5 linked regions of the Xenopus tropicalis genome follow. The protein of the gene in region 2 binds, or shares a complex with, the protein of the main gene of each other region. Links are inferred from orthologs where the notes say so. Each region holds a gene or a part of one and is shown on either strand. Other genes may lie near its edges.

Region 1 (6,024 bases), on a different chromosome or scaffold from region 2:
GCTCTGGATGAGAATCCAGGCTGTGAAGCTGTAGGAAACTAATAAAGAGCAAATAAAACACATACAATGCCCCTGTGTTTGGATGCCTTGTTGGCCACTCTGGGTTTAGTTAGCAGGACATTAGTACAGTAACACATACACTGCCAAGAAAAGGTTCTTTATGAAAACTCCCTGCCAAGGAAGCCACAGAGAGGCCAATGGCCACTTTAATGCAGCCCCTCTGCTGCTAAATTGGGCTACTCATTCAAAGGGACTCTTTCAGCAGTGGCCAATAATGGCAAACACGGAGCTAAAGTAACAATGGGGAGGCTCAAGAACAAAAAGGCTGAATGTGCCCAGTCAATGCCCTAAATATAAACTTTGTAGCACTATTTTAAAATGAAGGGGCTTTGACTGTAGATTGTAAGCTCTTGCGAGCAGGGCCCTCTGATCCTATTGTTACTCTGTATACCCTTGTTTGTAAAACTTTTGTTTAAAACTTGTTTAAATGTATTGTGAAGTGCTGCGTAATTTGCTGGGGCTATATAAATAAATGATGATGATGATGACTGAATAACCTGGAACAAATTTGGAGGCGTTGGGCCAAAATCACTTCTGAACTGTGTGCAAAGCTGGTTCATACTTACCCCCAAAAGTCTTAGGGAATAGCAATTTCCAGCTTGGCAAAAATATTTATCCCTCCATTGACCTAAATGGTATCATCTGGACTGGCAGGTAAGCAAACTATCCATTTAAATATGCCAGGGAGCACCGGACCTGTGAGTGTCCCAGCAGCACCCAAGCAATTACCATTTAGGTCAATAAAGGGCAAGTGGGACTGCTTTGCTACATGGCAAACTGAAAACATATGGATGGCGAACAGCTGGCTATCGCCTAGTGCAGGGGTCGGGAACCTTTTTGGCTGAGGGAGCCATAAACACCACATATTTTAAAATGTAATTCTGTGAGAGCCATACAATGGCCGACAGGAGCTAGGCAGAAGCCGGGGCCTCGATTTGTGGCTGCCTGTGGAGGACGATGCGACTTCAGGCCCGTTCGGCCGCGGATGCTGCGGGGCAAGGTAGGGTGGGTGTCACCTTTAGCTGTTTAATATGGCTTGTTAGTGGTATAACTAGAGCGCTACCTAGCACAGTGCACAGTTTGCTTCTCTTTGTAGCCCCAACAGAGACATATTGGCCACATTTTATTTTCAATTCAAGTGTGAACTGTCACAGGTTTCTGCTCCAATGTCCCTCTCAGTTCCCTGGGCCCTGGTTCAAGTGCAACCCGGTAAGGACGCCGGATGAGGAGTAGGGCGTGGCCTGCGCTCGGCGGATAGAAGACATGTTCTAAGGCTTTTTTTTTTTTAATTAAAGATTTGGCAGTGAGCCAGATGCAGCCATCAAAAGAGCCACATTTGGCTCCCGAGCCATAGGTTCCCTACCCCTGGCCTAGTGCGTCACTGCCTTACAGCTGTCTTACTTCTACAAAAGGGTACGTGTTTGATAATTAGACAAAAAGCACGTTTTTGTCATTTTATTCTGCTGATTTTTGCTTATTTTGCACAAAATAACATCACACGGAAGTGATCTCAAATATAAATATGACATTTGCACGTAGGATGGGTTACTTGGAGTATTGGGCAAGGGTGTGAATCCTTTAGCAAGGCAACATACTAAAGAGCAAAGCATTTTATATATTCACATGGGGAGGAACCCATTTCTTTGTACTAAAAGAAGGGTTTGCTGTTGGTTTATAGGAGATCCTTACACTGGTTCTGGCACTGCTAGCACCGGGCTGCGTAAAGGTGGCCACACACACTAAGGTCCGCTCACTTGGCGAGGTTGCCAAGCGAGGGGATCTTCTCTCAATATCCCCACCTACGGGTGGGCGATATCGGGCTAATTCAGGCTAATTCGGTCATTTGGCCCTGGAGCCAAACAATCGAATTAGAACGACGGGTATAGGCGCAGTCGGTTCAACAAGCTGATGCGGTCCCCAATCTGACTAAATTTTTAAACCTGCCCAATCGATATCTGGCCAATTTCAGGCCAGATATCGGTCAGCAGGCCCGCCGTTAGTGCCCATACATGGGCCGATAAGCGGTAGAGTTGGTCTAAGGGACCGTTATCGGCAGCTAGAATCGGCCCGTGTATGGGCACCTTAAGGGTACAGGTAAGATACATGTATTATAGCAGCAGAGTAAGGCTGGCCATACATCAGATTTTAGTCTTCAGATATTGGTTGTAGGTTTAAATGCAACAATCTAAAACTAACACTCAGACTGAAATTTGTAAGATAAAGTCATAAAAATAACAAATGGGAGGATGTTCTGAACATGAAATAGTTGGCAGCACCAATCGTATGAGAGTGACTCCCATTGTAGGGCCCCCAAGGATATCGTCGGATATTCAATACATGTTCCAAAATGTTAATCTGTCCAGTCGACTAAATGGGCGATTGCCACGGTATGATAATTATCGGGACGTTAATTTGGAGCCCACACATGGTCCGAAAATCTGTACATGTATGGCTGCTTTAGAAAAGGTTGTTTGCTGAGAAACGGACTATTGCAGGAGTGGCAATAGGTTCTTGGTTTTGGGAATCATCTTCTTTACCCACACTTCTGTCCTAATTCAACCTGAATTAATTCAAAATAAATTTTAATCGAGATATGTGCCACTTACCAGGTAAGACACTGGCGGGTACTTTCTACCAAGCAGTTTCACTTCCTCTAGAACATGGTTAAATACCGACATCATCCGGCGCTCGTACTCACTGTCGGCCTGTACTGCCCCACTGAAGCTGCACTCCTGGAAACTGCCCGGGGGGAAAAAAAGCAATAAAACCCTCTGCACTGGAGACTGGGATGTTTATCACTGGCCACATTATACCAACATAATCATGTCCCACAAATAAGGCTGCAGTTCCTCAGCCAGGAAGGTAAGAAAAATCACTTGGGGAGAGACATCTGGCCTGAGCCTACAGTGTGAAAGCCCAGGATTAGGGCAAAGACGCCAAGGTCTGTCACTGCCAACATGGTGTAATGTCTCAGCTATAGAAGGTCAAGGCCAGGTACCAGGCAATCACTTTAAAGAATAATGGAGCTTCTCCAGCAGAATCCTGCATTGTAATCTGTTTTTCAAAAGAGCAAACAAATTTTTTTATATTTAATTTTGAAACTTCACGTGGGGCTAGCCATTTTCTTCATTTCCCAGGGTTCCAGTCATGTGACCTGTGCTCTGATAAACTTCAGTCACACTTTACTGCTACGTTGCAAGTTGGAGTGATTCCCCCCCCCCCCCCCAGCAGCCGATCAGCAGAACAATGGGAAGGGAGCAAGATAGCAGCTCCCAGTAGGTATCAGAATAGCACTCAATAGTAAGAAATCCAAGTCCGGCTTGGGACTCCTCCAGTTACATGGGAGTAGGAGAAACAATAGGTTAGCTGAAAGCAGTTCTAATGTGTAGCGCTGGCTGAAAGCTCAGACTCAGGCACAATGCACTGAGATGGCGCCTACACACCAATATTACAGCTACAAATACATTTTTTGGTTCAAGAATAACATTTTAAATGGTAGAGTGAATTATTTGCAATGTAAACAGTGTAATTTAGAAATAAAAAGTACCCCATAATAATCATAACAAGTATAACTGTGTGACAGCATCTTAATAAAACAAAGCCTCAAGCAAGCGGTGCATCAGGTAAACAGCTCACTACACTGAAAATATTGGGGAGCCTGGCAGTAACTGAATCAGAGGGACACACATACTTGTGCAAATGTTATACTTTTCATCAGGACATGATAGTACAGATCTCAACCATTATCCTTACCTACACGAGTCTGGATCCAAAATGAGTGCTTCGATGGCATGTGAAATTAAAAGGCAGCTCTGCTGCTGTCTGATTCTTTAATTAAGGAATATGAAATACCGTTTATGTTCAAGCAGCACATGGTACCATGCTAAACTGCCCAAAATTGTGCTAGTCTGAACGTTATACGCAAATCCTTTGACACTTTCTCTTTCTGATGTTATTGGCCCTTTAAACAGCCCCAGCATTAGATCAGCCATCCCCTTTCCATTTCTTAAGGATCTCCTTTAGGTTCAGTGCTTAATCATTATAACATTCACTCTGCAACTGCTTGGCCTATCCAGGGCACAAAATGGGCATTCACTCAAATCTCACTCTAAACCTTTAGGTTGCACCAACCATATCTGATGCATTGGGCTCCACCATAAGAGCCAGTACCATTATTTAGGAACCCTTGGCTTAGATTTTCCCTTTTAAAGGCAGTGACAGACAGGGAGAATCTCCCTGCAATACTATCCCACCGGCAAGAATGTAAATTGCCGGTGGGATGGCATATGCAATTTGTCACCTTGAGAGGAAACTTCAGGCGACTTCGGCAAAAAGTCTTTCACTGCCCTTAGGGCAGGGGTGGCCAGACTCGGTCCAGTCGTGATCGACCAGACTGACGCGGAAGTGCAGCGTGAATGTGTACGTACGCGACACAGCGTACGTACGCATTCACGCAGCACTTCTGAATCGCAGGCTTGATTGTGGTCCACCAGAAATCCACGGGGGATCGACTGGTTGACAGCGATCGACGTATTGGCCACCCCTGCCTTAGGGTGAAGACACACTGGGCTACTAGTAGCAGTTACTTTTTCAAGGCTACTGAACTCCAGAAAATACCCCTCCAAAGACAATACTAAGAATTGTCTCTGCTAAAACACACAAGACAATTATCGGTAAATGATCAGCATTTTATTTTTTAGTAGCAGAGACAAGTAGCTGCTACTAGTAGCCCAGTGTGTCTTCACCCTTAGGGCAGGGTATTTCTGGCGTTTAGTAGCCATGACAAGTAGCTGCTATTAGTAGCCCAGTGTGTCTTCGCCCTAAGGCAATGGGTTGCTGTACTGTACTCCTATATACAGAAACAATAAACAGATTGAGAGGTGTAGATGTAGATATATAGATATATAAGATTAGACAGACAGACTGACCTTTTTTAAAAAAGTGTTTGAAGTAAATTTACACAATGAATGGTTAATAAATGTGCCCAAATATCTGCCCATATGTTCATTAAAAAAAATCCCTCTCTGCTCTCTCGTGTATTATTCTGTTGGATATTAGCAAGTCAAGATCATACTAAAGGATACAACTCTATATTTCTCAAAGTTGCAGAATCGGCATCAAACGAAGATTGATACAAGTCCCCATAGCGAGCAGCGAGGCTTTTGAATTCTTCCATGCAATGCTTCATCTGCCAGAGGAAAACATGATTTAAGCACTTTATTCAGAGCAAAGATGGACAACCTATGGCAGTAAGTGGGGGGGGAGTCATAGTACTGTACCATTTGGGGGCCTGCAGGACTGCACCCCAATTTCACATAAAGGGTGAAACAAACAGGCTAACAAGGGGATAACATGGTCACATATTAAACTGAATATTTAATTTTTAAGCACAATGTAATAGGCTGAGGCAACCTGGTAGCCTCATATAGCAAAGAAAAAGAACCATAGTGGTTATGGTGAGAAGGGAGCCAATGAGCCCTATTGGAATAGTGCAGTGTATATACTTCTGAAAACAGAAGGTATTCACATGCTTGAAATGAGAGCCTTTAATTTTCATTTTTATAGGCAGAGACACGCAAATGACTCTTTTATTCCCCAACTATGCATCCAGAACTGCTAGTTTAATAGAGCAGATACAGCCTAATAATTCTAAAACATATATCCAAACAATAATAACAACACAGGTCTAATATAATGGCACTTATGTAACATTTTACTTCTATACTCCAGTCCGTTTCACTTTAAACCCTACTTGCCATCTCCCTTTCATTACCTATGGGTTCTGGAACTAGGTCCTTCTGTTGGCCCCAGGGCTGCACTGTATATAGATCATGGGGATTTCTGTTAGGCTTAAATACTGATAAACCACAAACTCCATTGTATGCAAGGTGGAGTACCCGAAGAAGGGTGCACTCTGGCAACCATACAAATGGCTTGGCAAATGGAAAAAGTGTAAGAAATACT
Region 2 (6,547 bases):
AGAATGTAAATCGCCGGTGGGACGGCATATGCAGCGCCGAAATCGCCAAAGTTTCCTCTCAAGGCAACTGCTGTGATTTTGGCAAATTGCTGCGCCGCATATGCCATCTGTCATGCAATGACAGACAGGTTAATGGTATCTTATAACTAAATGGCAATCTATATTTACCCTAAAAGATTATATTCCATGGCCAGGCAAACGACCACAGGAACTTGTCTGAGTCACTTACATTTTATATGAACATACAGATGACAACGGTCTTTTACCAATTATCCAGTAATTGGTGGTGGGAGATAAGAAAAATAGGACTGCCAATCTGTAGAGAGGCTGCTGTAAGATGCCATAGACCAGGGGTGACCAATACGTTGATCGCGGTCCACCAGTCGATCCCCTGTGGATCACTGGTGGACCGTGATGAAGTCGGGGATGTAGAAGTGTTGCTTGAATGCATACATACACATTCACACTGCACTTCCGCATTCCCTGGTCATCAGTCAACAGCTGAATGAAAAAGTCTGGCAACCCCTGCCATAAACAGTCACTATTTAGTGGGCTGGTGAGAAAGCTATATGGGCCTCTGTAATTAAAATGCCAGGGCCCATTTTGACTCACAGTCCAGGCCTGATTACAGTACTTGCGCTAAACCAGCTTAAGCATATAAGTGGACAAGAAGAAGGATCCAGGTATGGAGCTATTAACCAGGTCATGGATGGCAAGTAGATTTATGCCTGCCCTGAAAGAGCAGTAGAAATACATGTAAACTGCCATGGGAAGCTCAGGAATAATTGTATTCTGTTCAACAGCAATTCCCACCCACAGCATGCAAATAGCCACGCTAGCACTGTTCAGCAAAAGGCAATTGACTTAAATGGAAATAGGAATGGGGGGAGATAAAATTAAAGATAGAAGTATTAGCGTTAAACACTAATTTGACATTATAATTTATTTTTACTTGCTGTAAATTTCACCCATATTTCCCCTTTAACCTCACCATTTTAATTACATTTGCCTTTTACAAATTCAAGTTAAAAATTTTTCTAGAAAACTGTATATTTTCTGGGAGTACATCAGTTTATTCTTGCAAATTTTAACCTACCTGCCCATAATTGTCTATGCCAGTTACTAATCTATTTAAATTTAACAAGTCAAACGCTGTCCTTAGGGATTGACCGAGAGTGGTGAGTCCTACAGCCTGAAGGTTTTTCAGTTCATTCATAAAGGTTGCATGATTTTCTTTCCATCCAGCCTGTAAGCAAATAGAACAGGTATATGTCAGATTCTTAAACATAACATTTTCAGCTTATAAATAAAGACAAAAACTGAACTTAATAGCAGTTAAATGTTTGCTGTGGTGAACTCTAATTTCACACTTTGATAAATATGCCCCTTAAAAACTTTGCTCACATAGGGAGCACTGGGGACAGGATGTGCAGAAAACTTCTGTAGGTCCTATCCCCAGTGCTCTTTAATGGATGTGCATGCATCCAGGGTTGGGTGAAAAATCCCTTTAAAAAAATATATATTAAATATATATTTATTTATTTATTTTTTTAAATTAAATTTTTAATTTTTTTATTTTATTTTCTATTATTATAGTTATATATTGCACCCTTTTTGATTCAGGAGGACAATATTTCATTCCACTGTGTACTTGTAAGTATATTGTTGGGATGACAATAAAACTCTACTTACTTACTTATATTGTAATGGTAGTATAAGCAACATATAAAAACATTCTCATTTCTAGATAAAAAAACAAAATATATTTGGCACCCATATCAATGTAAAAAATCCCATGGGGAAGGGGTTCAATTAACAGTCTGAGAAATGCTGATTTATGCTAGGTCATGCAAGTGGACAAAGGCTGGTTATTTAAGAACGTACTGGTACAGAACTAAGAGTGGATAATCACACAAGCTAGTTCATGCCTCTGGCAAAATGCAACTAAAATAAAATGTGTTGTTCACATAAAAATAAGAAAATGCCAGAAACGGTAACACACAGTAAAAGAACAGATGCAGGTATTGTGACTGCAAAAACCAGAACAGCATAATAAATCAAACAATAGGACTATGCTCATCAATACTAATAATAATAAAGTGACAGCAAATGAATGAAGTGCCGTATAATAGGATAGCAGCAAACATGACTGTCGAGCACGAACATTAATGCTAAGAGCAGAAAGAAAGTATAACACAAAAGTCTACCCTCAAAAACTTACAATCCATACAAAAATAATAAACAGTTGCCGCCAAAATGCCTTTAATATTATCTTAGTGTTTTTAATAAAGAAATATACTCAGTGTGCATTTAACTGCATTACAAATACTCCAGGTGTGCAACCTACAGCCCGCCAGCTGCTGAACTACAAATGGGGTTCCTTGACAATAATTTGGCTCTCACGTGACAGTGAGAACTAATGACTGGGAATTTGTTTGGTGGACACTTAACTGTTTTCATATGGTAACTCCCTGCAGCCCCCAAGTCTGGTGGACATTTAACTGTTCTCATATGGTAACTCCCTGCAGCCCCCAAGTCTGGTGGACATTTAACTGTTCTAAAATGATCATTCCCATCAGCTTTTCAGACACTGGGTGCTGGGAGGTTAAGGATTGAAGGTTGGACATCCCTTGTTAGTATGTGTGTGTTTATATTGTATAAATATAAAATATATACATATGCACACGTGTTAAAATTATGTATCATTCTAAAAATGCATACAACAAATATAATTTTATATTCCTATGTGTAATTGTATATTGCTTTGATAATAAGAAAAAAATGAAAAACAGATGAAGATTAAGCAGGGACTTAATGATAATATTTTACACACATGCAAAACTTATTAGCTGTTATTGTGCTGAGACCTTCCCCACTTTGCAATAGGCAGATATAAGTGAGACACTAATGAAAATACATTGTTTTTATCAGGAGAGTCACTAGGGCCCACAATAGTCTCTCACAAACAGCAGCCCTGACACTCCAGGGCCCCTATCGTGATCTGCGAAGTTCCCCTTGGGGATGTCACTTTTAACTTGAGTCTCGATCTCCCACAGTTCCTTGCGGCTGCGCTGGGTTACGAGGGGGAGGAGTGGGGGATGTCGGCCATGTTTCTGTCAGCTACTGGATATGTGTGTGTGTGTGAGTGCGTGTGGTGGCTGTTAAAGGGATACATGCCAGCAAGGCTGACACAGACATGGCACACAGAGGGAGGGGGAGCAGTGGTGCCTGCTACATGATGCTGATTATATTTATGATTACCTTGATCCCATAAGGAGGCTCTTCCAGGGTGACCAGCATGTACCTGTCTCCTCTGCTAGCAGGATCTCGGGATCTGAGCTGAGAAACAAGACAGAGAGGAGCAGATGGGGTCAGTAGGAGGGAAGGACAGAGGCAGATAGAAGATCAGAGGAAGGGGGGAGAGCGTTAAGTAGGCAGCTTACAAGCGCCCCCTGAGTTGGGGGTAACCCTAATGGAACAGGGGGGTAGTGGTGCTGGCACCCTGGCTGCTGCAGCTGCTCACTGGGAGGGGGGTACTACTATACCTTCATGAAAGTCTCTACTGCGCCTTTAGCTATGTCCAGGTAGGTAGTGCCCAGGTGGGTGCGCTGGTTCATTGAAGCGGACGTATCTAGCAGAAAAAGTAAAATGGGCATAGTGCTGCCGCTGCTGGTACAGGCGAGGAGCTGCTACATGGGCAGTTCCATTCGCCCAGCACGGGAAACACAAGGGGGCTAAGCAGGGTGTGGGGGAAACAGCAGCGGAGTGTCCCTGAGTCTGCTAGCTGGCTGCCCACAGCCCCATATCCTCTTTGTATGACGGGTCGTGGCCTTCAGTTCCAAAAGGGGAAGGTTCTTTAAGGGGCTATTATTGATGGGGATGGGTTTTTTGCAGTTTGGGACCCTTCTGAGAAATTCTTCTGTATTATATCATGTTTCTGGCTGGAAGGGAAGCTGGCTTGGCTAAGTTGGATTGTTTATGCCCCCCGTGGATGTGACAGAAGTTTGAATGAGTTCAGCACTACTTCCCCCTGCCACAAGCTCTGTCTCCCTCTACTGAACGCTTCCTTTCGCACTCGGAGCTTTTAAAGCGAGGAGGAGGGGTTCGACGGCTCCTAATGCCGTTACGTCAGAGTCCCATGTGACGCGGGACAGGCGTGCCTTATTGGACAGCATGTGCTTCGGCTCATGTATATTCATGAAGGGATTGTGTTACGCGCATTCATTAACCCTATCGGTGGCTGAGATCATGGGGAAAGCGAGTCTCCGCGGGAGGAGTTGGGTTAAAAAGGAAAGAGCGCGGCAACGGGAGGTGTCATGCGCGTTCATGGAAGTGGGCGGGGAAATGCGGGACGCGCGTACGTACGCGGGTTTTGTGCGGCGCGCTTTGCCTTGTGTATAACGGGCGTCGTCGCTGTGTTTTTTCCTCAGTCGTCAGCAGAGCAGCCGAGGGCATGGTGGATGCGGGTTCAGATGAAGGAAATTAATGCTTTTTATTTACGTGCTTGTAGTTAAACTCCTCATTCGCTTTATCTTTATATCCTCTAGTGTACATACGTTTATTTCTGACCAGCCCATATTGGTTTTATACGTTCAGTTCCGGCGTTCTTCTGGCGACTGTCGTTTTTCCCCATGGCCTGTTTCTTGAGCGCTGCTCGAAAATGCTTGCGCGACTGGGAATGCTGGGAAATGTAGTTTAACTGCGGAGTACAGCGCTTTCCTCAGGCCCGTCTTCACAGTTGGACTGCGAGTCCCGGTATTCTCAGTATATAAAGGCTGGGGCGTTTGTTGTTGATCTAATGTTATATCTGTACAGGTATAGGATCCCTTATCCGGAAACCCATTATCCAGAAAGTCTCCCGTAGACTCCATTTTAATCAAATAATTCAGAATTTTAATACTAATTTCCCTTTTCTCTGTAATAATAAAACAGTGCCTTGTAATTGATCCCAACTAAGATATAAATAATCCTTATTGGATGTAAAACAATCCTATTGGGTTTAATTAATGGTTTATTGATTTTTTAGTAGACTTAAGGTATGGAGATCCAAATTACAGAAAGACCCCTTATCCGGAATACCCTTGGTCCCGAGCATTCTGGATAATGGGTCCTATACCTGTATATCCTATATGGCAGGGAAGACTATAACAAGCCCCATCGTGTGGCAGTCCCTGGGTGACCCAGTAAGTCCCTAGTGAGCAGATATCAAATAACAAATATAAACAAGGCATGGCCTGTGTGTGAGGTGGGCTTAGCTGAGGGCTATGAGCAGGGCACAGACTGGCTGTGCAGCTGGGATACAAATGGAGGAGCTACAGTCCCATTATGCAGCAGGGGAGAGTAAACTTCTCTCGGGCAGGTCACATGCGCTTACCCTTGCACACCAGGCACTCTGTCATCTAGAAGCCTTTCCCATTATCTAATGCGCTTTATACAAGTCTTCGCCTGAGGGGCCTCCTGAGCAGTGCAAGTGTTCCTTGCAAGTCTGATGAGGTTATATCTACGCAGGGGGGTAACAATAGCCCCACAAGTGCAGGGGACCCTGACGTGTGCAGTTTCATGGCATGTCCTGTTGCCATACTTGAGGGGGCCCTTACAACAACAACAACAACAAAAAAAGTCCACGGGGTTGAAAAATGTCTAGGTATGACCCTGCATGTAAGACTGGGTTTGCAATGTCATCATTGAAAGACTTTGAAGCAAATTTGTAGCATCTGTCTTATTTTGTAAGGCTGCAAAGTAGAGGCCTTAATTTTGGAGTTCAAGCATTTTGATTTCATAACAAGACTACTGATATTAAAAAAACATGGCCACAAAAGTCTCCTGTAGTTCCAAGGATATCCTAGCATTCACCCTCAGCCTAATTGGATTCCAGGTTGGGCAGGCCCACTGTTTTCAAACGCTGCATAAATGGTCTGAATAACAATATAATAGACACAAGCAGCGTGTCCCTAGTTTTAATGAAAAATAGAATTTACATACTGATGAAGAATTCTCTAACTTGCTTTATACCTACGTTTTACCTGTAGCTGCCTCTGTAATCTCCCTGAATCTAAAGTGGTAGAAGAGCTTGTCAGTCTCTTGGCAGAGTGACAAAGAATAGTGCACTGAGCTGCCACCTAGGAAAATGATTAGCCTCAATTATGCAGCAGCTACTTATTCCATTGCAGCTATAGGTAAAATATATCATTGCTTTAGAAAGGTTCCCCCTGCAGAGAATATGAAATGTGCGCTGTGGGAACCCCCCCCCCCCAACCAAAGAGTTTATCACTAATCTCTCCAGGACCTTGGACCCCCCCATAGAGTTTATCATGCTCCAATTCTGTAAACATCACAGGTCCAGAAAAGTACAGAAATCTCCCAAAAAGTTCTCTGCTGCGTGTGCGTCTGCCCTCAATGGTGTAGGGCAGTGCTGTCCAACTTCTGTGGTACCGAGGGCCGGAATTTTTCTGGCCTACATGGTGAAGGACCGATAATGGAAGCTAGTTTTAACCACTCCTGTTTTTTAAACAACATCTACTTCAAACCACACACATTATCACAAGAG
Region 3 (6,024 bases), on a different chromosome or scaffold from region 2:
TTGATTGTGCTTAGCACAAGGAAATACCGAATCACTCGGGCTACATGCTATGCCAAATTTAGGTTCAGGTGAAGGCTACAGCCGGATTAGCCATTAAGTTAACTTTTAATATGTTATAGAATGTCTTTTTTCTTAAAACCTTGCAATTGGTCTTTTTTGTTATATATTTTTTTAAATAATTTGCATTTCTCTTCTACATCTTTCCACTGACCCCGGCAGCTAAAAAAAATATTGCTCTGTGAGCTTATACCGCTTTTTTTTGTTTACGGTTATTGTTACTTTTTATTGCTTTATCTTTCTGTATAGGCCCCCTTCTATTCATAATTCAGTCTCTCGTTCATAACTGTTGCCTGGTTGCTAAGGTAAACACGACCCTAGCAACCAGATAGCTGCTAAAATTTCAAACTGGGGAGCTACTGAACAAAATGCCAAAGAGCTGGAAAACCATAATAAAAATGAAAAACAATTGCAGAATCAAAAGCAGTCTCAGAATATCATTGTCTACATTACTCTAAAAGTTAGTTTGAAGGTTACCAAGCCCTTTAAACCCAACCTGTGACAATGACTGAAAATAGTAAACTTCATAAAAGGAATAAATTTGAGATTCAAATTCTAAATATTTCCATTGGAGATATATAAACGGAAATTAATAAAAGAGACAATATGACTGAGCTTTGTCGTGATATTGTATTTTCCTCGTTATAAAAAAACAAATACTAAACTAAACAATTAAACAATGTAATTGCCCTTAAAGAATCTGTTTCCAACAAATCGGGTTAAGTATTTGTAGAACACAAGTATATTTCTCCTTTACAACATTAGAAAGAGAAATTAAATATGCATTCACTCCCAATATTTCCACTGCAGAAAACAAGGCCACATTACCACTTTGAGTCATTAACTTCATGGTAGCAAAACCACTGAGCAAGGAAGCTGAACAGAATCATAAACAACCAGGGATGTTCACTGCCTGACAGAAGTGGTACATGCAAATAACGAGCCAGTAGTTAATTCAATAAAATCACAGCTAGTGCTGCTCTTAGCAGTGTGCAAATCATACCATCACTGATGCGATGTTTTGAGGAATACAAAGCTGCAAATGATTTAAGTTGTGCACGAAGAGGACCCTCTTCAACCCCAGGGCTGTCCAGCCATTGTAACATCTGCATGAGGACTTTGAAGAAGAGAGAAGAGAAAGCTGTATCCTGAGGGACAGAGCGCTAAACAGAAAAGATATAGGATTATTTTTGGTGGTAGCCAAAACATAATGCTCAAATTTTTATTCTTGTGCAACTTTTCTATCAGTGGCGATATGTGCACAGATAAGATTGTAAGGTATAATTATCAATGTGTGCATGCTGGTCTGACAATCCTAACCAATATCCATGTACTGCGTTTGCAAATGTCATCTGACGTGGTGCACTGGCAGAAAAGGAAGTGATAAAGAGCCACAGAGCTCCTCTTCAGCTCCTGCTGTTCCCTTTCTTATATTCTAAGAATATAAGCATGAATTATCAGAACAACAGAATGGTGACAATATGAGGAGTCGCCCTTCGTATGGTCTTTGTCTGTTCTGCCTGCGGACTGATGGGTTGGAAAACATAACAGGAGAGGAGACAACAACAAAGAGGAGTAGATTGCACTAAGACAGGGTTTCCCAACCTTTCTTACTCGTGAGCCACAGTCAAATGTAAAAAGAGAGCAACACAAGCACCATACAAGTTCATGGAGGTGCCAAATAAGGGCTAAGGGCTATTAGGCAGCCTCTATGCACACTATCAGCTTACAGGAGGCTTTATTTGGTAAAAAATCCACCGAGCCACTGGTTGGGGATCACTGCACTAAGATATCAAGCATTTAAGCCAGTCGCTGCAAGTCCATATGCAGCATCAGCAATGACCGAAACTAGAACTAGTGGATCATGCTGCTGACATGTTGCCAGTATCTCCAAGACCTGGCATACCCCTTGTCTCAACTTGAACGAGTCCTAAAGCATATCTAGTTTTAGAAGACACAAAAACACAATACCCTTAATTGTCGCAAATGCAGTGGGTACTTTCAGGGCTGTCAGTGGACAAACCTCATTTATAGCGCTCACTATAATCCAGGTTTCCACTGTAGCTGTTCAGACCAGTGAGAATGCATTACATACCTGGTATTGATAGAGTAGTCTCATTAATGGACAAGCGATGAAATGATTTCTGTGCATAGCTAGGACCAGGGCTCCACTGTGGGGAGAGTTTAACAGCGCACCCACTGCCTGGAGCAGACGCACTGCAATCCCTGTTAACTGGGTGTTTCCCTGTCGGATTCGGGCCAACTCTTGCCCCAAGGCTTGCTGTAAGGCGAGGGAAATAGGACGTGGATTGAAGTTCTGCCATCTTGGATCCGGATTTAAGGGGAAAAGCTTTATTTAAAAAAAAAAAAAAAAATCTTTAAATTTATAGAGTTCTTTGATAAAAAAATAATCCACAGATAACTGCAATTTTACTGGGAATAAATAAAATTTAAGACCTTAAACGTATTGATTTACCTGTAGAAACATCCCAGCCAAATCATCTTCTGGGCCCAAGACAGGTATCTGGGTCACAGCTCTAGCCCGTACTTGCCCCTGGGGAGTTTCAGTGCTGGCTTTTCTCTTAATCAACTCAGTGCTGTCTGTAAGACACAGATTGGAAAGATGGAAATCTTTCAGATACCATATATTTGCAGTCTATAATTAGTAAAATAAATACAAATTCTGTGACTGACAACAGTCCTGGCTAGTATTGCAGTCTCACAAACCTTATGTAATTATACAATTAAATATACATTAAGCAGCAGGAAAATAAACGGACATACCACGCCTGGGGGGAATAGATGCTGTCAGCAGAGAATGGAAGGTCTGGCCCCCTGTAGCTCCTCTTTCATGCTGAACTTCAACAAGGTGAGCCATGTAATCTAGAAACGAAGCACATGAATTCCTTATTCTCATGGGGAATATTTTCTACAGTGACACAATGCCAAAAGCTGGACTTGGAGAGGCAATAATAAATAAATGAAATGCAACACTAAGAGATATACAGCAATTTCTATATTACCAATTTCTTTGTTTTTATTTTTAAACGGTGGTGGTAAAGAGTTTTCCTTTGCGCTACTTAACTAACATTATGGCAAGTCACAACAAAAATATAGTCCAGATATCGGCACTCACCAAAATAATAGCCACTGTCCGGGTGCTAACCCTATATTCATGCACCTTCTCCAAGAAAGCACTCACGGACCAATATAAAAAAATAAAATAATTTATTAAACAAAAAAGTCTACGCGTTTCAATCCATATAGGATCGTCATCAGGACACACTCATGTGTGTTGAGTGTTTGTGTCCCTTTAAGGGGATTTCTAGCTATTTTCACATTTATATCCTTGCAATATATTTCACATATATACAATAAGAAAAAGAGGTGCTAAGATTATGATTTAAAAAATTATCTTTAACTCATTAGTACTTTAGTAACGTCCTATAAGTGTGTATGTGAGCAATTTACTAGAGAGAAGGAAAGTATATAACCACTGGAGGAACAATTCCGTTGAGTTTGGAGAACATGCCGAGATAGTGGCTTTGATGTAGGGTGGGGCATTTTTATTTTTTTTTTAATACAGGGCTTAAGCCATATTCAACTTTAGAACTTAAATGAGAATTGAATAGCTAAATGTTTAGATCCATAAAAAATTGTGTTCCATGGGTTTCCTCCGAGAAATCAAAAAACATACAAGTAGGTTAACTGGCTCCAGATAAAACTGACCATAGTGTGCATTTCATAGGGACGTTGCCCCTATATTTAAAAGGCACAAAGTATTCCCATGCAGAGTAACCTAAAGCATCCAGTAAGATGCTTGCATTTAGGAAGGTGACCTAAAAACGTTACCTGCTGATTGGTTGCTATAGGTAATTAGACCTTTGCTCATATGAGCAATCACTAAAATGACGCATAAATTGGCAGTTGTACAGTCAGATGAGGATTGTACAACAAATAAACAGCAAAACATATGGAATAGAAAAAGAACCATTCCTCTTCAATATTTGATACAATTTTAATTCAAACAGTTCCCAGGGAAAGATGTCAACACCTTATGTAAGTGAAGGCAGTGAGATTTTCTACCTGTATAGAGTAATAAGGCAGCTATGTTATAAACAAGCCAGATTCTTTGCAACAGTCTGTTGCATATCCATTAAGTCGGCTTCATACCACTGATACAGCATATAACATCTTGAGTATATTATTTTCCACATATATAAGGAGCATGTCACTATCACTTTAATTAGCTGGTGAAGCTAAGCAAATTTTTTCCTGTTTCCTTTAAGTTTGATCACATACCAGTAAAACAAATCTGGAAATAAAGTTTAGGTGTTTAAAGGAACAGTAACACCAAAAAAATCAAAGTAATATACTATGCACAACTGCGCTGCACTAGCAAAAGCTGTGTGTTTGCTACAGAAACTATGCTATAGTTTATATAAATATAGCTGCTGCGAGCTATTGGGGCAGCCATTCAACTGGAAAAAAGGAGAACACACAACTTTTACCAGCAGAGGGCAACAGTACATTATATTTAATTACTTTAAAACACTTCAAATTTTTTGGTGTTACTGTTCCTTTAAACATAAAATGTAAATTAAATTGCTAGCATACTACAGATAGGCCGTTTGTACGTCGTATAATACAATACTGTATTCATGCAGGGTGGGTTATGGGGGGAACCATTAAGCATACAAAAAAAACATACAAAAACAACCAATACCCAATACAAGAGGTAAAGAAGACCTTACCCAAAAGAGCTTTACAATCTAAAGGTGTTAATGCACTCTCCCAGCAGACAGACATGTTTACTTATTCCCAGTAACTACCATGCATCACCACTCTCTTCTACTTTTTTTTTATTATAGTTCTCAACTCTTTCACATACATTTCTGTACCATGGGTGCATTGTTAAAGAAGGAGAAGCAGAGAAAGAAGAATAGAAGGGGGGAACCCTGCTGGTATCAACCACTGCAATCTCCTCTACTCACTTTTGTCCATGATGTTTTGCTCTAAGGCTTGAGGTTCTTGGGACACAGCCTGGTCAAGATACTGAAGAAGTTTACTCATGCTGGATACTGGAATTCCAAATGACTGTACAAACAGCAACAGTTGCTGGGGCTCCAAATCATGTAATGCTAAAATCATACAAAATCAAATAATGGATAATATAACACAACCTCACCATTCCAACATAGATATGCACTTTTTGATGATGTCTATTTTCACACACACACTAAGTCCAAATAAGTATGCTATAGTTTATGCCAACAGGATATTAAACAAATGCATAGCCAGGATACCTTTCCTTACACCACCATTACAGTAGCCACAGCCTTCCAAAAGTGGACTGAATTAGGACAAAAGTTATTTCTCCTTGATTTAAACCTCGTTTTCACGTGATGAACCATGAGGTAACTTTTTCTCACTAAATTAAATCTGGCCCATTTTGTATATAATTTGTAATTTGTTATCTCTGAATAAAGAATTAATGACACATTCTACATGTGGTCTCTGAGATCAACATACCTGCATCAACCAGACGAGGAACTTCAGAGCGGATCATCCGAAGCTTTAGCCAGTCAGGAAGTAGCAAGGCTTCTTCTGAAGTGTCCACCAAGAAAGCTGTAGGAAGGGGCTTCTTCTCTGGAAACCAGATATCCAATAAAGCAAAGAAATCGCTTTCACCTGCAGTTCAAAAACAAAAATAGAACATGAACAGTGCACGTATATATTACAAGAAGATACTAATGGCATTTTTTTATGAATTAGTAGCTAACCTCGAGGAGGTCCTAAAGTGAGCAAAATGACCATGGCGTGGACAACTAGAATGTGCATAGTTGCAGTTTCTCCACTGGACCAGCGCAAGAATACCTGATCCTGGGACTCTGACTGCAAAATACAGAAAGAAAATATTAAAAGGATTTTTACCAATTTACTATACAATTTATCTATTTATGGAGA
Region 4 (6,024 bases), about 58 Mb from region 2:
TAAAAGGCTAAAAATGTGGTGGCATTTTTTTAGCAATTACCCAGGATCGCCGCATGCAAAGCAAAGAGGCAGCTACTGTCAGGTGCTTCATTACCTGTGGCAGAGGTGATTTCCCACCAGGGGATGAAGCACGCCATGTGTCAGTACACTGTTTGCTGTTTTGATTGCCTGAAATTTGACATCTATTTGCAAAAAATATTTAAGTCTAGTGCTGCAGTAAGCACCTCAGGGCCCCCCTTTGAATTGGTTGATTGGTGCATGTACATATTTATCATGCGTAGATCACAGAAGAAAGGGGGTACATCACAGCCCCATCTCCCTTCTAAATCTAGGTGCAAGTATCCAGCTGCAAACTGGACCAATATTATTTTATTTTTCCATTTAGCCAATCAAAGACAGCAGCTGTTGTCCTAGGTTCACACCCTTTGCCGCCTATATGGTAAATTCAACCCTTCTAGTAGTACCTGCTTGTAAAATGCAGAGAACATCTGCAGCTTCCTCCATGTGTACAGGGCTTTCAAAGAGTTCAGATGATTTCAGAAAGAACTCACCACTTGAATCAGCTACCTTAAAAGAAAAAAAATGAAACAAAATGAACTACTTGGGCCCACCTAAGATGGCAACATTACCATGTTTGAGTTGCAGCAGTTGTAATTCTATTATTAAAGGTAGGCATGTCACCCATACTTTGAAAGGGAACAAAATACCAATAAGCAATTCTGTGTTTGTGGTGTAAAGACTTAAATGCCCATGCGGTAAAATGTATGTGGGACAAACCATAAGGAAAATGAGAACTAGGATTGGGGAACACAGGAGATGAAAAAACAATGTAAAAACTCATACACCAGTCAGTAAACACTTTTTTGAAACATGTAAAAGTGCAAGTCTCAGGTGGCTGGTATTAGAACAATAAAATCACCAACCCGTGGAGGAAACAGAAAGAAGCTGTTACTACAATGTGAAGTCAAATAGGTAGACAGGCTCATTACATTTAAACTGTTTGGATTAAATGATGCACTCATAAATGCTTTTTGTGAACTATTCAAATTGTCTTTGCTTTTTCACAATGAACTTATGATGGCATGGACTTTATGGGTAGGAGACAGTTACCTGCTTTTTATTTATTAATTGTATTTGCTACTTTATAAATACTATGGCTTTGTATTGTAACACTTGTGATCAGGTTGTGTGAGTTTGTGTGTATTATCGGAGTAAGCCAGTAGATGGCAGTACCGTGTAAGTAGAATTTGATGTATGTAATTTAGTGTGTCTGGCCACATAATGGAGCTGACACGTTGGTTTTTGAGGGTTTTAAAAGGTCACTTGGGTTATGCACATTCTTGTATAACACCTGATGAAGGATCAATGAATCCAAAACCTGTTGTGTGGTATAAAATAAAACTACAAATGACTGATTGGCACAGTTCCCCAGAGTATTTTGTTGCTGATTTGTAAAGTCTGGATAGCGTGACCGTGCCTATACTCTGCATGAAGAAATTATATATTAAAAGCAATGGGATAAAACTTTATCCACTATCTTATTGTGATATGTATAACACAACTAGTGAACTTTATTTATATTTATTAAGGTTTACTGCAAATATGATATAAACAAACCTAAATATAGGATTGCAACCTAGACCAGTATGTCCGTACAACCTCTGTGATATTTCTATCCCACCCTTCCACCCACTCCCCTAAGGCTCCACTAACATATTTTGATTACATAATTATATACCTCCCAATGGCCAATTTTTGCTGGACAGTCCTACATTGCAGCCCTGAAAAATTAGCTTTGTTGGAAAGTGTGCAGGTGGGGATCTGTCACTGTGTACAAGGGCATGGTCAAGGCGGGATTCAACCTCTGGTCGGTTGGTATATTGAATATTTGTCACACTATGTGACACAGGTTGAAAAATATTGTTCTATACAATTACAAAATATCAATGGTCATAAGACACATAAGTTCCAGCAAAACTTACCTTATTTATTATAGCCAACAGTTCACTTAACACTAGGCGTAATCTGCGAGGAGAATCGCTGTGCTCAAACTCCAGCGTTAATCCATGCTGCAGCTGTGATACCAAGATACTCTCCCCACTGCCTCCTCCTAGTTTGTGTCTAGGCAATAAACGTAAAAAGGCAAGGGGTTAAACACTTCAGGCTACAGTTTGCTGTTCTGTTGGTTATCATTTCTGCAACTAAAATATATTATTTTAAAATAAGCTGTTCAGCTGTTAACTGGGTTGCTCAGGCTTAGGCTAATGCCACACGGGCATATTCTCACCAAGCCGAAAAGCACTTGCCGAGAATACACCCCAGTACTGTAGATTCTGACAAATGCAAAAGTACAGAAATTACAAACACGTACAAGATTATGCTTATAAAATGCACATCAGTCGTGCAAACAAATCAGCCCACCCTTCCAAACCCAGAGCCCTTGACAAAGCTCCTCGTGAAGGGGCGAAACGCGCGTCGGGCTTGTAGGGGGGTGGAACGGGTGTTGATGCGGGGCTCTGGGTTTGGAAGGGTGGGCCGATTTGTTTGCATGACTGATGTGCATTTTATAAGCGGGGGTGCCTCAATGTAAAAAACGGGAGGTCTGGCTGCAACATTGAGCTACCTGTACTCAATTTATGGTGGGGTGTTGGGTACAGAAAACGGCTGAATTCCAGCCTATAGCTGAAAGAGTCCTGTACTTTAACACAGCTATGACGGGGTCTGAATCCCCTACCCTGTCTCAGCAGTTAATATAGCACATAAAGGAAACTGGACTCGAGTTCTCCTTGTTTCGCAACAATTTTGCAACAATTGTTGCCGGTGTTTTTTTGCAATCTCTCCTTGGCTGCCTCTATAGGGCTGTGGATTTGTGGAGAGTGTTTGATACAATAGTTATTTTTTAAGCAGTAACAATTTAGTGAATTGAATGAGGCAGGTTAACTCTGAGCAGCCCTATAATACCTCATAGTTTGTACCTTAATTGAATATCACCCCAGGCGATTTTTAATGGGGATTATTCTAAGACATACTTCACCTTTTTAATTTTTACCAATAAAGGTTAAGTTTTAATGTCCTACAACACCTGATCAAGTGAATTACCCGATTATAATTTTTACCTCTTTTCTCTTTCTTTGGGGTTAACGGTGCAATAATTCTGAAGTCTAGACTTTTTTTCTGTATAATTTTACTTCAGTTGCACGTTACCTCAGTGTTCTCACTCCATTTCATACAACCTCAAGATAGGAGTGTAGATGGCTATAATTTGAAGGTGTATAGTTAGTGAGGACGGTGCTAGCTCTCTCCATTCCTATATTTTCTAAACTTTGCACAGTCAGTCACTGGGTGACTACGCATTCAGGTTTTTTAAAAAAAAATAAATAAAAAAAACCCTGCAAAGTGGGAGGGGCCAACAGCAGCCAATCATATTGTACCCATTGACTTTTATGGGGAAATTGAAACTGCTGCCAAACTTACAGCTTTGAGGCTACACTCCCCAAACTTGAATCACATAGTCATGGGGTCAGCCTGAATGAAAATATAATGATTGTTGGATGCCCAAAAGTGGGCGGAGATGTGAACAGCCAATCAGATTTTACCTATTGACTTGGCAGAAATCCAACCTGCTGCCAGTCTCACAGTAATAACCCCAGGGTCCCCAAACTTTGCAGGGTTAGGCACCAGGTAACTGTGGTTCAAGGTAAGAAAAAGTGGGCGGAGCCACCAACAGGCAATCAGAGTTTACCTATTGACTTTCAATGGGGAAATCCAACCTGCTGCCATTCTCACAGTACTAACACCAGGGTCCCCAAACTTTTCACAGTTGGTCACTAGGGGACTAGTGACCAACAACCAATCAGATTTCACCTATTGATTTTTATTGGTTTGTTGCCAGGCTTCCCAAACTTTGCATAGTCAGACACTGGGTGACTACGCATTTAAGGTTTTTTGTATTTTTGTAAGTGGGTGGAGCCACCAACAGCCAATCAGATTTTACCTATTGACTCTAAATGGGGAAATTCAACCTGCTGCCTGTTTTGAAAAAGTGGACGGGGATTTCACCTATTGAATTTTATTGGTTTGATGCCAGAGTTTGCAAACTTTGAACAGTCAGTCACTGCATGACTTTGTACCCAAGGTAAAAAAAAAATGTGAGCGGGCCGCCAAAAGCCAATCACATTTCTTTCATTGTTTTCAGTGGGAAAATTTTAACTGCTGCCATTCTCACATGTTTAATGTCAGGGTCCCCAAACTTTGCACAGTTTGTCACTAGGTGACTATGTTCCAAGTTTAGAAAAGTGGGTGGGGCCAACAAGAACCAATCAGATTTCACCTATAGACTTCATATGTTTAAATTTAAACTGCAGCCATTCTTTAAATATTAATACTAAGGTCTCCAAACTTTGCAGAGCTAGTCACCTGGTAACTGCAGTTCAGTTAGAAAAAGTGGGTGGAGCCAACAACAGCCAATCAGATTTTACCGATTGATTTTCAATGGGAAATTCAACCTGCTGCCATTCTCACAGTATTAACACCAGGGTCACTAGGGAACTGCATTTTTAGGTTTTAAAAAGTGGGTGGAGCCACCAACAGCCAATCAGACTTCACCTATTGAATTTTTTTGGTTTATATTTAAAATGTTGCTTTGCTCACACTATTTATGTCAGGGTTCCCAAACAAGTGGGAGGAGCCACCAACAGCCAATCCATTTCCACCCATTGGTTTATATTTAAACTGATGCCATTATTTAAATATTAATTCCAGGGTTGTTAAAGTTTCCAGAGTTAGTCACTGGGTATTTGTCATTCAAAGTTAGAAAAAAGTGGGCGGAGCCACCAACAGCCAATAACATTTCACCTATTTACTTTCAATGGTGAAGTGTAAAATACTGTCAGCCTCACAATGAATGCCTGAGTCCCCAAAATTTGCAAAGTTGGTCACTGGGGGACTGCAGTTCAAAAATAGGAAAAGTAGGTTGGGCCACTAACAGCCAATCCGATTTCATCCATTGAATTTTATTGGTTTAAATTTAAAATGCTGTCATTCTCAAACTATTTATGCCAGGGTGCCCACTGTTTGTCACTGGGTGACTTCGACTCAAGGTTAGAAAAAGTGGGCGGAACCACCAATCACAATTCACCTATTGACTTTAATGGGGAAATTGAAACTGCTGCCAATCTTACAGCTTTGAGGTTACACTCCCCAAACATGAATCACATAGTCATGGGGTCAGCCTGAATGAAAATATGATGATTGCTGGATTCCCAAAAGTGGGCGAAGCTGTGAACAGCCAATCAGATTTTACCTATTCAAATTGCTGCCATTCTCACAGTATTAACACCAGGGCCCCCAAACTTTTTACACTTGGTCACTAGGGGTGCGCAGTTTTAGTTTTGAAAAGTGGGCAGAGCCACCAACAGCCAATCACAATTCACCTATTTACTTTCAATTGTGAAGTGTAAAATGCTGCCAGTCTCACAATTTTTTTGCCTGAGTCCCAAAACTTTGAAAGGTTGGTCACTGAGGAACTGCAGTTGAAAAATAGGAAAAGTGGGTTGGGCCACTAACAGCCAATCAGATTTCATCCATTGAATATTATTGGTTTAAATTTAAAATGCTGTCATTCTCACACTATTTATGCCAGGGTGCCCACTGTTTGTCACTGGGTGACTTCGACTCAAGGTTAGAAAAAGTGGGCACACCCACCAACCACCAATTGGTTTTTGTTGGTTTAAATTTTAACTGCTGCCGTTCTTTAACTATTAATCCTAGGGTCCCTAAACTTTGCAGAGTTAGTCACTCGGTAATTGCAGTTTCAGGTTAGAAAAAGGGGGTGGAGCCACCAACCGCCGATCAGATATCACTTGTTGACTTTCAGTGGGGAAATTTAAATTGCTGCCATTCAGACACTATTAAAACCAGGGTCCCCAAACTTTGGACAGTGGTTTTTACTATATAACTGTGGTCCAAGGTCAGAGAAAGTGGGCAGAGCCCATTCAGTGACTTCATGTTTTTCAACCCAACATG
Region 5 (6,566 bases), on a different chromosome or scaffold from region 2:
ATTTCAAAAGAAAATATTCTGTCCTGTGTGACCATGACAACTGCCCTAAAGTGAACAATAGACTGCGTTCTGGAAAAAATTGTAAAGAGCTATAAATAAGAAAAAAGCACAGTCAGCCTGGCACAAAAAGTTTCTCATCAATGACACAAACAGGGGGCACGGCTTCTTGTTGAGTAATAAGAAGCCACCAAAATTAACCCTTGCACATCTGTTGTTATGACATATGAGCCAGATCTACTTTATGTGCATTGCATTGATATCAATGGAAAGTAAACAATGGTGATCTCACAATTTGATAGTGAGGAAACGCCTTGTTTGCCACAGACCTCAACAATTAGGGGCCGATTTATGACTGCTTGAGCCTTTTACCTCGTGTAATCACAAAGGAAACCCCACGAGTTAAGGAACTCAAGGGGGGTTTCGTGGGAAAAAAACTCTTTAGCCGAGGCATTTTTCCCCTAGCGGTCTTTCTTGAATTAGAAAAAGTTTGACACCTAAAAGCTGCAGAACCTGCAGAATATATGTGTATATGCATAAAACACAGCACTAATGCAGTTTTGACAGATCAGGCAGTACTGAATCGAAATGGCTAAAAACTCAAGTTTGGAAGAAACAAAGAAATGAAGACATTCACTCACAATAAAACACTCACTTTTAAGGTCCCCATACACGGGCCGATAGTAGCTGCCGATATTGGTCCCTTGGACCGATTCAGCAGCTTATCGGCCCATGTAGGGGCAGAAACGAGGGGCCTGCCCGACAGATATCTGGCCTGAAAATGGGCAGATATCGATCGGGCAGGTTAGAAAATTCAGTCGAATCGGGGACCGCACCTTAAGTCATTGCACAGACGAACACAAAGTTTTTGAGTTTGTCTTTTTACCTTATCAGCAGATCTCTTCTCAGCCTCCTTCTTTAACTTCTCTGAAGTCAGTGGTTTGCTTAGCATACTGCTTGATGGAGTGCTGCTAGAGGCCTTTGTTTCAGGCTTAACTTTAGATAACATTGCTTTGGGCTGCTCCATTTCCTTAAACAGAAACACATTACTTTAAGAAAAGCAGCAAAAGATTCACATACATACTTTTCTTAGGTATATTTTTCAGATACACATTAAGTGTGGAACAATATTCTTTACGACTTAATCATCCTGCAGAAATTATAAACTAAAGATTAATTTTCATTACTTTAAAAATAACTTAATTCAAAAAGAGGGCAAGCAAGAAAGAGATATGCTATATGTTTTCATATGTCAAGCTTTCATACTCCATATGCTGACTGGTTATTGCCAACAATATTATTGTTGGATTATGACAAGCCTCCTGGAACTATATCAAAAACACAGGTGGCAAACTTTGGAATTTTGGTATAGATTACTGCAATGGTGCAAAGCTGCACCTATGTTTGTACGTTTACCCAAATTTAGATGCAAGGTGTTTGAGTCTATACTTTAACCTCAACAACAGTTCTTCCGGGTTATTACCGAGAACCTTAAAAATGGGAGGGTTATGTAATTCTTCTACAGCAATACATACTTCCTTGCACAAATGTTTTAATGTTGCTTATTTTTTAGTCAGGGAGCACAATTCAACACATATCTTATTTGCTATGCAAACTACAAAGTACAATTTTGCTGAGTGGGATAGAACCATTTGCAAATTACTCCATTCCCCAATAAACACATTGAGGGGTGGGGTGTTGGCATTTCTTTTCCTTTGAAGCAAATTTTACCTACATAAACTGTCACAACATTTAGAGAACTATATACAATACGCTATTACAAGCAAATGTATTCTTGTTTTTAAAATATTAAATAATTATTAATTATTAAACCTTCGGTTGAGGACGGTAGACAGAGTCGTTGCCTTTGCACAGTGACTCATCTAGCAATGCCTTCAGTTTTTCAGCAGAGTCCTTGCTCTTTGAGTGGAGGTATCCAAGTGCCTTCAAAAAGACAGGATCCAACTCAGTATTTATAGTGACTGCCATGGTTATAACCTGCAATGAAAATAAGGCTATTTACAAAAAAAAATAAATGTATCAATTATTTGTTCTTTTATGGTAAAATGTTAGAACAGCAATAAACATACCTTGAAAAGTAAATAGTGTTTATATTATCCAACTCATCAGAGATACGAGAGACATTTAATCCTTGAACATGGCTCTAAATAATAGTAGAAACGATCATCTTAATTCAGGTAATGGTGACTGCTCATGGGAGATTAGTCGCCCGCAACCTCGGCTCCAGGGGCGACTAATCTCCACCGAAATGCCTTTCCACCGCCAATAAAGTGAATCACTGGCGGGAAGGCATACGTGATGAAGTCATGCGAAGTTGCCTGCAGGAGGAAACTTTGCGCAAGTTCGAAAATTAAGCAACAGGTATGCCTTTCCACTGGTGATTCACTTTATTTCCAAAGATGTAACCAGGGGTGACAAAGTGAAATGCAAGCTAAAATAAAATAGTTATGGAAGTTACCTACTCTACCTTATTTAGGGCTCTGACGTGGAGCTACTTGTAGCAAGCTACAAAACACCAGAAAATACCCTGCCATAGACAATACCGAAAACTATCTCTGCTAAAACACACACAGAGACAATTTTCAGTGTTGTCTATTTTGTAACAGCGACAATAACACAATTAATTGCAACAACAGGCACAAACCCTATTAAATGAACTAATGCTGGAAAAAAGAGGGTATCACAAATACAATATGAATGCTTGGTTCACTATATACTTGTGCCTTATGGTCTTTTGAAAATGTAAAGCTAACACAAAAAATGAAGACCAGCAGAAAAACATCACATTATATTTATTGAAAAGGCAAACTTCCCCTCAAATGCTTGGAATCAGGATGAAATAAGGACAGGAAAAAAAGAAATTTTTCATGAAACTGCTTACCAGTCAATGGCCCAGTTACTCTACAGTTACAATATCTACAGTATCTGGGTTTCACAGTAGTATGTACAACATAACACGTTATATATAAACATTATGTAACATGAAAAGAGTTGAGTGGGGCAAAAACTGTCATGCAATTTGCTTTACCCAGTCTACTTCCTCTTTACTTGTCTATCAACATTGTGACACGCAAAGTTTAGCCCAGGTTTACTAGCCCATATTATTTTTAAACATATCACCAGCAACGTTGGCCCCCCCTTTGGGATGCTAAGGGTTACTACGCCAGCGGCAAACTGCATCTTTTAATTCATTCCCCCATGTTAGAGTGTGGGGCCAGGCCAGTAGAGTATATTCTTAACACCAATGATGCTCAGGCTGCTTCAGTCTGGGAACTATAGAAGCCACAGGTTAGAAGATTCTCCTGCCTTATACTGTACAGCGATACTGCCATCACTACTTACTTCAGCAGACAAAGCCCTAATAGAACTGCTTACAATGGAAATATTCAAAATCCCGTGCTTTGGTTTAGGATTCTATTCGCACTGCGCCGCTACTTCCGGGTGTGGGAGGTCCCTCAGCAATACTGCTCCCCGCAGCCAGCGCTCAAGCGTTCCTGTTCGTAACGGAACAGTAAAAGATTTTCCTTCTGGCTGTGTTCGGGAGCGACTCTCCGTTGCACTTTGGGTTTTTAACTTTTTTTTACCCCGACCTTAATAATAATAATAATAAAAAAAAAATCAGTCACCATCAGGCACGAGAGAACAGCAGGATAAAGGTACCCGGTGTGGGGGGTTGCACAGTTGCTATGGGTCCTTCCCTAGGTCACTGCACATGGGAGCTTGAAACATTCTCCATCTGGGTTCTACTGCGCAACTTGCTCTTACTTTGCCCGGCCTCAGGTTCGGTTCTTCTTGCGTTAAATTCCCAACAGCCTTTACAGTGTACTGCCATAAAGGAATTCGGGGAGGTGTAGTACTTAATAAGTTGGGCTTTGTGTTAGTTCTAGTTTAGCCCACAATGGTGTTTTGCCTCTGTGTTACATCTGTGGCAATTAATATAGGACTAACAGAACCGCTGAGAGTGACAGGTGTACTCACTTACAGTAAGCATTTTATATGAAGTAACTTAGACAGGGCTTTCAAGTACTGTCTGCAAAGGTGTTTTTATGTTTGTTTCCTCCTGCACCCCAAAAACATACAAACAGGATAACTGGTGTATGAAAAAATGTTTTAGTAAGCTTAATGACTTAAAGTGGCCTTACACATTTTCCTGATATGGTCGGACTGGGGGGAGCAGGGAGCAGGGCCCACCGGGGCTACTGCTTCAGGAGCCCATGCACCTGCCTTCACACCATCCCCGCAGGGGCCCCCACCACCTGTCCAACCCCCTCCCCCGATCGTGCATAAGTGACACTTACCTTCAGTGCGTCAAGGGATGGAGACCTATGGACCTACAGGAGTGGTGTGCGGGGATCGGGTTCGGGCCACTGGGGCCCACCAGGTTTTTCCCAGTGCCCCGGCGGCCCAGTCTGACACTGGCCATTTTGTGTTGACTGAAATGGCCCCTAGTACATGCAGTTGACAGGAAAGCATAACTGAGCCTATGCAGTACTTGCTACAATGAGATTTTTAAACCTGCCCAATAGATATCTGGACTTGGATTTTTAGCCAGGTTATCTATTGGGGAGGAAGTTGGAGAGGTCACATACACAGGTAGATAAGCGGCTAACTTTCTTCTGAAGGGGCCAGAGCAGCAGTGTAAACGTGAAATATTGTGTGAAAAAAATATTGTGCAAATGAATTGTAGAAGGAATTTCCTTTAAAAAGTTGTGTTTCAGGCTGATTTTTTTAAATTTTCTCCAAATACCCCACTAATCTAGCCCATCTGTCCCACTTTCTACTGCCTTCTTTCCTAGGCTATGCAGGGGAACCGGCTGCACTGTAGGATAGAAACCAATCGGCAGCTAGGCTGACCTGATAGGGAACTGAAGCCTGTCTTTGCTTGTGTGACAGCAGGGCTGTGATTGGCTATCCCCCTCCTACTGTGCTTCTGGCAGGCATTGTTAGGATGTGCCCACCCCTCATTTGAAATACAACAGGGACTTAAGAGGATCTATAGGGAGCTCCAATAAAGGGTCCATTTTTACAGATAGTATTGTTTTTTTGACCAAAGTGAAACCTTCCCGTGTATGGCCATCTTTAGACTGTTAGCTCCACTGGGGCAGGGAGTGTGATGTGATTGATATATAATCTCTGAAAAGTGTTGCCTAACATGTTGGTGGCATTTTGAACTGGATTACATGTGGCCATAAAACAAAGTCTTAGCAAAAGATTTACTATCCTGTCCTGTTTCATACCTGTGATGTTTCAATAGGATTTTAACATATGTATACATATAATTATTTAGCAAACAAACAGAGCATAGCACTCACTGGTTCTGTGAATAGTGAAAAAGAGTTCTAATTATATAAAGTTTACGCTAAATAAAACCTTTTTAAACAAGAACAATGAGTGCTGTACCCTATTTGTTTGCTAATTATTATTTTCTCTCAAACACCCTAGAAACTATCCTATATGTGAGTGCAGGTATTCTGAAGTTATCTGTCTGTCTCTAAATATTAGATGGGAATTAAACACAGGACCCTATAAATATATATGTGTGTGTGTGTGTGTGTGTGTATATATATATATATATATTTTATTTTATTTATTTTTTTCATGTATGAAACAAAAGTTTTATTGAAAGAGATCCAACGGTTAGAGCACAAACAGGTCCCTGAGGGAGAGCACTGTTTGTGCTCGAGATGTTGTATCTCTTTCAGTTAAACTTTTGTTTCTTAAACAAAGTCCCAGTGAGTGTGGAGAGAGTGAGAGAGAACGAACCGCACACTCAGGGACTTGGTGCAAAAAAGCGTGCAGTACTCTTTCTCTGTTTGTCCATTTTTTGACCTGCACCCAGGGCTGTTATTTTGGTGACGGGTGTGCTCCACTCATCTAAGTATGAATAAAAGAGCAAAAAGCATATATACGTTAATGTGATAGGGACCTTAGATTGGAAGATGCACTGGTGCAGGGACTGATGTGAATGAATCTCTCATCTGTAAAGCACTTTGGAAATGTGTTGGACAAGAAATTAATAATATAAATAATGGTATATATAGGTATGGGAACCGTTATCCAGAAACATGTTATCCAGAAAGACCATCTCCCATAGACTCCATTTTAAACAGAAAATTAAAATTTTTAAAAATGATTATCTTTTCCTCTGTAATTATAAGACAGTACCTTGTACCTGATCCTAAATAAGATATAATTAATCCTTATTGGAGGCCAAACAATCATATTGGGTTTATTTAACCCAGTGTTGTACTGAAGAACATTTACTTTACAGATGGAAAAATAATGATAAAATAAAAAATACATACAAGATATAGTTATATTCAAGTTTAAGTGCTAAGTGTTTAAGAAACAAAAGGAAAGTCTTTGAGCTTATAAGTTTGACCGGCCTGCTCTTTTAAAGATGATAGGGGAAGGATTGTTGCTGCAGAATTAAATATAGACTTTAGTGTGGAGAGGTGTGAGATAGGCCAGTTAGGAAGCAAGTTGCAGTAGCCTAGATGGGAGAGGATGTGAGCGTGCATAAGTGTCTTAGCTGTTGCAGTTGAAAG

The links.
Region 1: ints6 (region 2) and ints7 share a complex: the UniProt entries of both Homo sapiens proteins name them as parts of the integrator complex. The link is inferred for Xenopus tropicalis from reciprocal best matches to the Homo sapiens genes INTS6 and INTS7.
Region 3: ints6 (region 2) and ints1 share a complex: the UniProt entries of both Homo sapiens proteins name them as parts of the integrator complex. The link is inferred for Xenopus tropicalis from reciprocal best matches to the Homo sapiens genes INTS6 and INTS1.
Region 4: the proteins of ints6 (region 2) and ints2 are in contact, whole or in part, in a cryo-EM structure (PDB 8RBZ), measured with the Homo sapiens proteins. The link is inferred for Xenopus tropicalis from reciprocal best matches to the Homo sapiens genes INTS6 and INTS2. Residues at the interface, in NP_036273.1 of Homo sapiens: Ile484, Val486, Arg487, Ser488, Arg489, Phe527, Gln528, Val529, Ala530, Leu531, Leu532, Asn533, Phe541, Arg542, Asn543, Ala544, Tyr545, Ile547, Arg549, Leu552, Leu553, Leu556, Met559, Arg560, Asn562, Leu563, Leu564, Lys565; in NP_065799.2 of Homo sapiens: Ile855, Asp856, Pro857, Leu858, His895, Arg923, Glu925, Leu926, Lys927, Ala929, Leu930, Ala932, Ala933, Gln934, Ser936, Ala937, Gln940, Ile941, Glu944, Asn1010, Lys1013, Leu1014, Phe1017, Gln1018, Gly1019, Tyr1020, Pro1021, Ile1046, Ala1047, Gln1048.
Region 5: ints6 (region 2) and ints12 share a complex: the UniProt entries of both Homo sapiens proteins name them as parts of the integrator complex. The link is inferred for Xenopus tropicalis from reciprocal best matches to the Homo sapiens genes INTS6 and INTS12.

The regions. Positions count from the first base shown.
Region 1 is NC_030681.2:14,761,731-14,767,754, reverse strand, and holds part of ints7 (integrator complex subunit 7), read right to left. Parts: intron 5,249-6,024; coding exon 5,145-5,248; intron 3,883-5,144; coding exon 3,814-3,882; intron 2,800-3,813; coding exon 2,667-2,799; intron 1-2,666. UniProt on the Homo sapiens protein: Component of the integrator complex, a multiprotein complex that terminates RNA polymerase II (Pol II) transcription in the promoter-proximal region of genes.
Region 2 is NC_030678.2:149,908,627-149,915,173, forward strand, and holds the start of ints6 (integrator complex subunit 6), read right to left. Parts: upstream 4,069-6,547; 5' UTR 3,657-4,068; coding exon 3,546-3,656; intron 3,340-3,545; coding exon 3,262-3,339; intron 1,247-3,261; coding exon 1,097-1,246; intron 1-1,096. UniProt on the Homo sapiens protein: Component of the integrator complex, a multiprotein complex that terminates RNA polymerase II (Pol II) transcription in the promoter-proximal region of genes.
Region 3 is NC_030685.2:29,729,440-29,735,463, forward strand, and holds part of ints1 (integrator complex subunit 1), read right to left. Parts: intron 5,953-6,024; coding exon 5,841-5,952; intron 5,749-5,840; coding exon 5,590-5,748; intron 5,199-5,589; coding exon 5,052-5,198; intron 2,941-5,051; coding exon 2,842-2,940; intron 2,659-2,841; coding exon 2,534-2,658; intron 2,408-2,533; coding exon 2,153-2,407; intron 1,221-2,152; coding exon 1,061-1,220; intron 1-1,060. UniProt on the Homo sapiens protein: Component of the integrator complex, a multiprotein complex that terminates RNA polymerase II (Pol II) transcription in the promoter-proximal region of genes.
Region 4 is NC_030678.2:91,785,041-91,791,064, reverse strand, and holds part of ints2 (integrator complex subunit 2), read right to left. Parts: intron 2,122-6,024; coding exon 1,983-2,121; intron 568-1,982; coding exon 465-567; intron 1-464. UniProt on the Homo sapiens protein: Component of the integrator complex, a multiprotein complex that terminates RNA polymerase II (Pol II) transcription in the promoter-proximal region of genes.
Region 5 is NC_030677.2:72,492,641-72,499,206, reverse strand, and holds the start of ints12 (integrator complex subunit 12), read right to left. Parts: upstream 3,731-6,566; 5' UTR 3,648-3,730; coding exon 3,645-3,647; exon of another isoform or gene 3,563-3,644; intron 3,454-3,562; exon of another isoform or gene 3,361-3,453; intron 3,307-3,360; exon of another isoform or gene 3,286-3,306; intron 2,162-3,285; exon of another isoform or gene 2,088-2,161; intron 2,013-2,087; exon of another isoform or gene 1,996-2,012; coding exon 1,831-1,995; intron 1,028-1,830; coding exon 884-1,027; intron 1-883. UniProt on the Homo sapiens protein: Component of the integrator complex, a multiprotein complex that terminates RNA polymerase II (Pol II) transcription in the promoter-proximal region of genes.